2 linked regions of the Macaca fascicularis genome follow. The protein of the gene in region 1 interacts with the protein of each later gene in a pairwise test. Links are inferred from orthologs where the notes say so. Each region holds a gene or a part of one and is shown in the gene's direction. Other genes may lie near its edges.

Region 1 (4,061 bases):
AGTGTAGAATTAATTTATTTGGCCAGGTTGTTATGCTACTGTTGCCCTGCTTCACCCTTAATTTTTTGAATGACTACCTACTATATTCCTAAAGAATAGAGAGCTATTTGGAATCCATCAGTGACTTTAATTTGCTATTAGAATGTAAGTTACACTCTTTTGAATTCTTGTGAAGGACTCCTTGCCCTTCCCAAAATTCCAGTTTCCAAACTGAAATATTAAAAAATATTTCTGCAAGTTATTTTTCCCACACTCTACTGTAATTAAACCATTACTTGTGGCTCCCCCACCCACACACATACACATAAGCCCCTTGAAGATGTGGGCTGCTTCTCTTCTGTTTGCTCTTGTGTCTCTAGGCCCTCACGGAATGCTCAGCACATGGCAGGTTCTCAAATAAGACCTGACTGAACAAATTAATAGAAATGATGCTAATTCCATGTACACTCAAAAGAATACCTCTTTGAAAGTCAGTAGCTTCACTCTCTTCTGCCAACCCAAGACTTCTTCACATCATAGATACTTACAAATAAGTTACAGTAAGCAACAATTTATAAGTAAACACAATGTGTCAATGCATGGCAAAAGGATGATTACTTCTCTTGGCTATCCATAGCAGGACATAAAATATGCCCTTAGATTTATTACAAAAGGCCAGTCAGTATGCACCAGAGAAAATGGTGGAATGGGGGAAGCCAAAAGTTGTGAGTCTGTCATAATGATGTCAAGTGACACACTTTTTCATTGCGATCAGGGTGTACCATACCTTAGAAAAAACAATCTATTTTCCATTTCTGGATGTCTTAATAATTTAAAATATATAAATAAGCTCCTTTTCCATCATATGAACTGTTCTTACGTATTCTCTGGCCTTCCTTTGTCCAAATGTTGAGTTGAAGTTTTCATTGCATATTCTCTGTGCGCTTTGGCATTACCTAATGGTTTCCTGGCTCGTGTGAGAGAAGTCAGCGTCAGCAGTCGGGTTTTGCCGAGATGTTTTCTTGTCCTTTCCAGCACAGAGCTCTACAAACAAAGGCAGGGTTATCACATGTACCCGAGAGCTGCCTGGGAAAAGCGGGAGCTATAGTTATCAAAATTTTAACCTTTATGAAGTATGCTTTTGTCTCCGTTTTTGTTGCGTTCAATCAGATCAACAAGTGTTGGCTAAGTGTTGAGCGTGGTTTCCTGTGGGATTGTGTAAGGCTCTGTAGGACAATAAATGTGTTGGGGGCACTGAGTAATGTAGCCATTTCTGACCCGGCAGCCAGGAAAATGTGAAACAATTTGCTTCTGGAAACAGGACAGCTGGAGCTGTGTTCCTGCAAGAGCAGACCAACCACCACGGCGGACCCAGGCAAGCACGGAACAAGCCGAGATGGTGCGTTTAAGCGGCAGGTGGCTACTCAGTGTCATATACTATGGGGAAAATAGGTTTGGTTCCCGGTGTTGTGGGGCCTGAAGTTACAAACTTTGGGAAGCTCACTTTAAGAAAAATAGTACAACATTTTGAATATGAAATTACTAGGGCTTCCTCTGGGACTTTAGATGGGACCAGGTAATTTGGAGGCCAACGGCTGAAACTGCTGTAATTTCACTGTAAAAATTCACTCCTTGCTCAAAATCTCAGTTAGGGAAGCTATCAGGTTGTGTACATATCACCACCAGTTGTATCTAACTTTGTGCTGTATTCTCTGCTAATTTTCTCCATCCTCTTCTTTAGGTATTGCCTTTCCACAGCTTTTCATATTGGCCTCATAACTGCTTACAAAGAGACATAGAAGTGTTCCTTGTACCTTCTTTACCTGTGTTTTTATGATGTTACTTTAGCTACAAATATTTGCTCTTAGGTTCCTGAGGTCTCTCTAAATCAAGTGCTTTATGTATTTTAGATGGAGATAGACAGATGGGAGGGAGGTAAACCATACAGTTGTACTCACATCCATATAATTTTAAAAGATTTTGTGGGCCACAATGATTTCATTGGATTTGTAAAGGAGTATAACTTTGTGGTCCATATAAGTGCTTCTCAAACTTTCCTGTGCACATGGATCGCCTGGGGATCTTGCTAAAATGAAGATTTGGCTGTGCGAGGTCTCAGGTGGGAAATGAGAGTCTGCATGTCTAATGAACGCCCGGATGATGCAAGTGCACGGACCACACTTTGAGTCACATCCAAGTATTTATTTGTAGGACATATGTGGCACAGATACACAGTCAATAAGGGGCTGGTTCAACCTCATTTTATGGTAACTCGTCTCAAGCTGGAAAGTCTGCTACAAAGCTGCTATGGACTGGTGTTGACATGACAATACATGAGGAGGTCTTCCTGCCTCCCATTATCTCCTATCCACAGGAGCTGGGGACAGAGGAATGGGAAGTAAAATTTTATCATTAAGGATCATTATCATTTCATTGTCTTTAGTTTTTTAACTTTGCTATGGTCTTTTTTAAAACTTTGCCTATGGAGCAATGAGAAGGGACATAAGTTTTTAGGACACCTACTAGGGTGTTGGGCATTAGGCTGCCATCTTCTCGACTACTCATAACCTTTCGAAGTGGTTATTGTTTCACTGCCTTTACAGATGGGGAAGCTGAGGTTTAGCTGGGTTAAGTAACATGACAGGTTGCACAGAGACAGAGCAGGGATTCGAACCCAGCTCGCTGCTTTCACTCACGCCAACGTGCATCACATAAGCAGTGTAACATGTTTAATTCAGCATGAGATGCTAGCTCATGGATTTATTGCTTTTTGCTTTTCTCCTAAGGAAGGTGCCCAGAGAGAGTGCCCTAGGCAGAGGAGAGGGAGCAGAAAGAAAGAGGGTAGTGAAAAGAGGAAAAGACTTAGAAAAGCTCTATGGGACACTGAAGATTAATCTCACACCTAAAGCAAAACTTAGCTCCAAAAGGACTAGCATTAAGATTCTTGCCTTCTTTGTGAGAAAATGATCTTCCCAAAGTGTCTGGTTTTTATACACTCATTTTGGATCAATTAAGGTGTGATGCTCCAAGATGCTGAGAATTTGACTGTCAATGTTAAAAGATTTCTGTCCATATCATGCCAAGATCAACTTTAACTTTCCCTCTCCTGAATAACATCATGGGAAATAAGGATCTGTCAGGTTCTGTGAAGCCAGTATTTGTCTTTGGCCAGCATCATAAGACTTTTGGAACCACTTTACTTGATTATCAGTCAAACATTTTGTTCTTGTTTAAACTTACCATCACATTTTGTTCAGTTATTTAGCAGGAAGATAAGCAGGCCTGGCATTTGGGCAAATATTTGAAGATCAAGTTTGTCACAGGGCCCTCCAGTTTCCCTTCCAGATCCTGCCCCACTTGGAGCGTCTTCCCTTTCTTTCCCACCCTTCCTGCTCTACTGCCTTCCCACCACATGTATTATTTTAACATCTTGACACCTCCCAAAATCTTTAGCTACATGGCATGTAAAGTAAGAGAGGATAACTAAACCAAGTCAAAGGGTAAGGAATTGCTATCCTTATCTCTGAATTTTAAAGGATAAATCTTTAAAGGCACCACCCTGAGTCAGTGAGGGAATACACTTCCTGGTTGAGGGAACTATCCAATGGACATTTAACTAGATAACCCTATCTCCCTTGGCATCCTGTCTCCTGCTCCCCTTCTGTACCACTGAGAATTTATTCCAACTTTTGAGGTTGTATGTTCTTACCTATTTTCAAAATGTGGTTTCAAATTTTGTTATTTAACACTGCCTTTCAGCAGGAGATTCCTATTGAAAGATTATAGGTAACATCGTTCTGATATATCCAATAAAATGTCTCTTGCACGGGTCTGTTAAGACTCAAATTCATGGGTAGTTTCACCAAACTATGTCCCTTAGCAAAGCTGTAGTATGTTTGGCTGAACACATAGATATCTCCTACTCTGTTTACTGCCATCGGTGGAGTGGACGTTGTACAGGTATGACACCTGAAGCTGGCTCCCAGGGCCATGCCTCTTAGAGCACTTGTTAATGGTACTGGCTAAGTCACTTAGGCTGCTGGGGCTCAGTGTTACATCTGTAAAATGACTTCTAAGTTTCC
Region 2 (3,518 bases), on another chromosome or scaffold:
CTCTGCGCAGAAGAAGGTGGGGAACCGTCTCAGGACCCTGGAAATATCCGGGATTTTGTAGACTCGTCTAGGGGGAAAAAAAACTAATCCAGCTGATACAAAAATTCCCAGCTGGTGCTCGCTCCCATTTGCCTCAGCCCAGAAGTTGCCATCAACAGGTCTGGTTAAAAACTCGGTTAGAGCCCGGCGTGGTGGCGCGCACCTGTGGTCCCAGCTACCCGGGAGGCTGAGGCGGGAGGATCGCTTGAGCCCAGGTGTTCGAGGCTGCGGTGAGCTACGATGGCACCACTGCAGTCCAGCCTGGGTGGCATAGCAAGACTTCGCTCTATAAAACACGTTGTAAGGAGCGTATTTCGAGGTCCTGTGGCTCCAAAGCGGGTATGACAACCTCTCCACCGCCAGTAGGGCTCGCGCTGGTCCCTTTAAATGTTTCTTTCGGGAGCAGAGGGACCGGTCCTTTTAGAGCGCGTCCGTCCAGAAACGCGGCTGCAGAAAGAGGGTTCCGGAGCCTCCGAGTCTACTGGTTGTCCTGGCAACGCCGCTTGCTCTTCCCAAGGGGAGGACGCGGAAGAAGCCGGGGCCTGAGTGCTCCAAGGCCCCGTGGGCTTCCTGCGTTTGTTGCCCCCCCAGCCGCTCATTAACTCAGGATGGCGTGGAAGGCCTCGCCCGCCTCCCCTTCTGGGCCGCGGCTCCGCTTAGGTGAAGGCCTGTTTGGGCGTCCCCACCCTGGAGAGGGGCCGGGGTCTGGATTTTCAGAACTGCCACTCTTCCAGTGGTAAATGAATGGATAACGAGCATTTGTAGGGTATTTTATGATGTTTATCAGTAAATCAATTTGATGACGTGAATACTTCCACAAGCGCTTGTTAGGCACCTCACCGCGTCTGAACCACACACCTGCCATTCTTAGTGGGGATTATTCCTCCCATTTGCCTTCAGCGTTAATTTTCTAAAGGGATTGGGACTGGAATCTAGCTCTTTTGGGGGTATTTTGCACTTTTCTCACTTAAGAACTAAAGAACTCTGACATTTGGAGTACTACAACCTGAAAGAGTTACCTATGAAGAAACACCACCTTATCCAAAATAGGAAGAGGACCACGAATACTAACATTTGGGATTATAGTAGTGCTGGCCATTATCTCATTTAATCCTGACGATGGCCTAGCTTGCTATCCCTATTTGTAGGATACAGTGAAGGGTGGAGTCTGACCCTGAGCCCAACACAACTCTGAGATAAAATTCCACCCTGCCTCCCGGGTCCTGTTAGTGCCTCCTTTTTCCAGCGGGTGGGGACGGCTTATTATTTGGACACAGCTTGACTGGCTTTTCTTTATATTAAGCAAAGCCCAGCGTTACCTTTGCTTAAGTAACGGCGTTCCTCTTTCCCCAGCGCTGGCGTCGATGCTCACTTCCTCGGGCCATTGGAGACTCCGTTGCTTTTTAATGGCGGCAGCGGCTGCTGGGTGAGCAGCTGGAGGCCGGACAGTGTTCGTCCCATTCGGAGAGGATTGATTTCTCCTGGCGTCACCACCGCTGGGTTGGTGGGGGTAGCTTTTCCCTCTTTGCGCCTCCACTCTTGAAGAAAGAAGATGCCACTGCCATTTGGGTTGAAACTGAAACGCACCCGGCGCTACACGGTGTCTAGCAAGAGCTGCCTGGTTGCCCGGATCCAGCTGCTTAATAACGAGTTTGTGGAGTTCACCCTGTCCGTGGAGAGCACTGGCCAGGAAAGCCTCGAGGCCGTGGCCCAGAGGCTGGAGCTGCGGGAGGTAAGCCACCTAAAGACTGCAGGCTGGGCGCGGGTGGCTCACGCCTATAATCCCAGCACTGAGAGACCGAGGCGGGTGGATCACCTGAGGTCAGGAGTTCTAGACCAGCCTGGCCAACATGGTGAAACCTCGTCTTTACTAAAAATACAAGGCCGGGCGCGGTGGCTCACGCCTGTAATCCCAGCACTTTGGGAGGCCGAGGCTGGCGAATCACAAGGTCAGGAGTTCGAGACCAGCCTGGCTAATATGGTGAAACCCCATCTCTACCAAAAATACAAAAATTAGCGGATGTGGTGGTGGGCACCTGTAGTCCCAGCTACTCGGGAGGCTGAGGCAGGAGAATCACTTGAACCTGGGAGGCAGAGGCTACAGTGAGCCGAGATTGTGCCACTGCACTCTAGCCTGGGCTACAGAGCAAGACACCAGCTCAAAAAAAAAAAAAAAAAAAATTAGCTGGGCCTGGTGGTGGGCCCCTGTAATCCCAGCTACTGGGGAGGCTGAGGCAGGAGAATTGCTTATACCCAGGAGGTGGAGGTTGCAGTGAGCTAAGAGCTCACCACTGCACTCCAACCTGGGCAACATCAGCGAAACTGTCTCAAAAAAAGAAAAAAAAAAAAAAAAGACACTGCAGGCTTCTCTGTTCGGCATGCTGGCTGTGTGTTCTAGCCCACTGGCCACTCACTGTGTGTCCCTGGCTGGGATGTCTGAGTTGAGCCTGTAGGTTCTCTCCTCATGAAGCAGGAATAGATTAGAGCAAGAAGTCTTCCCTTGGGGTGCCGTATAATAACTAATGGTTCTTATTTTGAATATGTTTATATTCCCCCCTAAACGTAATCCAGAATCAAATGTGAATACACTCTGGGTTGTTCAAATTTCATATTTTCTAATATACCCCCTATGATATACTAGGTCATCCCTATCTCTAGTACAGTTTACTGACTTCATTCTTTCTTTTTTGTTCATTTTTATTTTTTTAGACGCAAGGTCTAGCTATGTTGCCCAGGTTGGTTTCAAATTCCTAGGCTCAAGTGATCCTCCCGCAATAGGCATGTGCCACCATGTCCAGCTCCTGACTTCATTCTTTCAACATTCATTGAGTAAACAGAAAATTCATTGACTATATTCTTATAGGTCAGATCAAGGTTCTAGAGACATATTGCCTGAACTCAGTTTGAGTTCTAGTTTCCTTACCATCTGCTTCTATATTACCTTGGGCAAGTTATGTGATATCTCTGAGCCCCGGTTCTCCATCTGAAGCATGGGGATGACTGTGACACCTAATTCTCAGAGTAGCATAAGGCCATAAGCTCTACTAACTGTTAGAGTACTGATTGGGAGGTTTGCCTAGGAAACCCCTAATCTAGTTGGTAGGAAGTTATGGAGTACTTATGTATCCGTATAATATCTTAAATTTAAAATGTTATGCAAGGCCTGTGAAGAAAGGTCTCTAATTAAACCTAGGACCCTCCCTACCTTTGGCTGCCTGGTTCTGGGGTAAGGGAAAGCTAGAGAAACTGGTTATTCCACCTAAAAAGTCAGGAATAGATGAACTTTCTCCTGGTGACCATCCAGTCACTTATATGAGAACTCAGTACTGAAGACGCATAAGTGCCAAGCACATACATACTTGGAAGCTCACCCTGGTGTTGTTGCCAATAAGAAAACAGGCATGATGCATGCTGTGATAAGGGAAGTAGAGGTTGTGCCATAGGCCAGAGGGAGGTGCAGCAAAGGGAAGGCTGCTCAG

Evidence for each region.
Region 2: the proteins of BMX (region 1) and PTPN21 interact in binary tests that used the Homo sapiens proteins (3 or more experiments, as listed by UniProt). The link is inferred for Macaca fascicularis from reciprocal best matches to the Homo sapiens genes BMX and PTPN21.

What each region holds. Positions count from the first base shown.
Region 1 is NC_088395.1:15,309,122-15,313,182, forward strand, and holds the start of BMX (cytoplasmic tyrosine-protein kinase BMX), read left to right. Parts: upstream 1-1,244; 5' UTR 1,245-1,375; coding exon 1,376-1,378; intron 1,379-4,061. UniProt on the Homo sapiens protein: Non-receptor tyrosine kinase that plays central but diverse modulatory roles in various signaling processes involved in the regulation of actin reorganization, cell migration, cell proliferation and survival, cell adhesion, and apoptosis.
Region 2 is NC_088381.1:156,520,948-156,524,465, reverse strand, and holds part of PTPN21 (tyrosine-protein phosphatase non-receptor type 21), read left to right. Parts: intron 1-544; exon of another isoform or gene 545-699; intron 700-1,392; 5' UTR 1,393-1,591; coding exon 1,592-1,771; intron 1,772-3,518.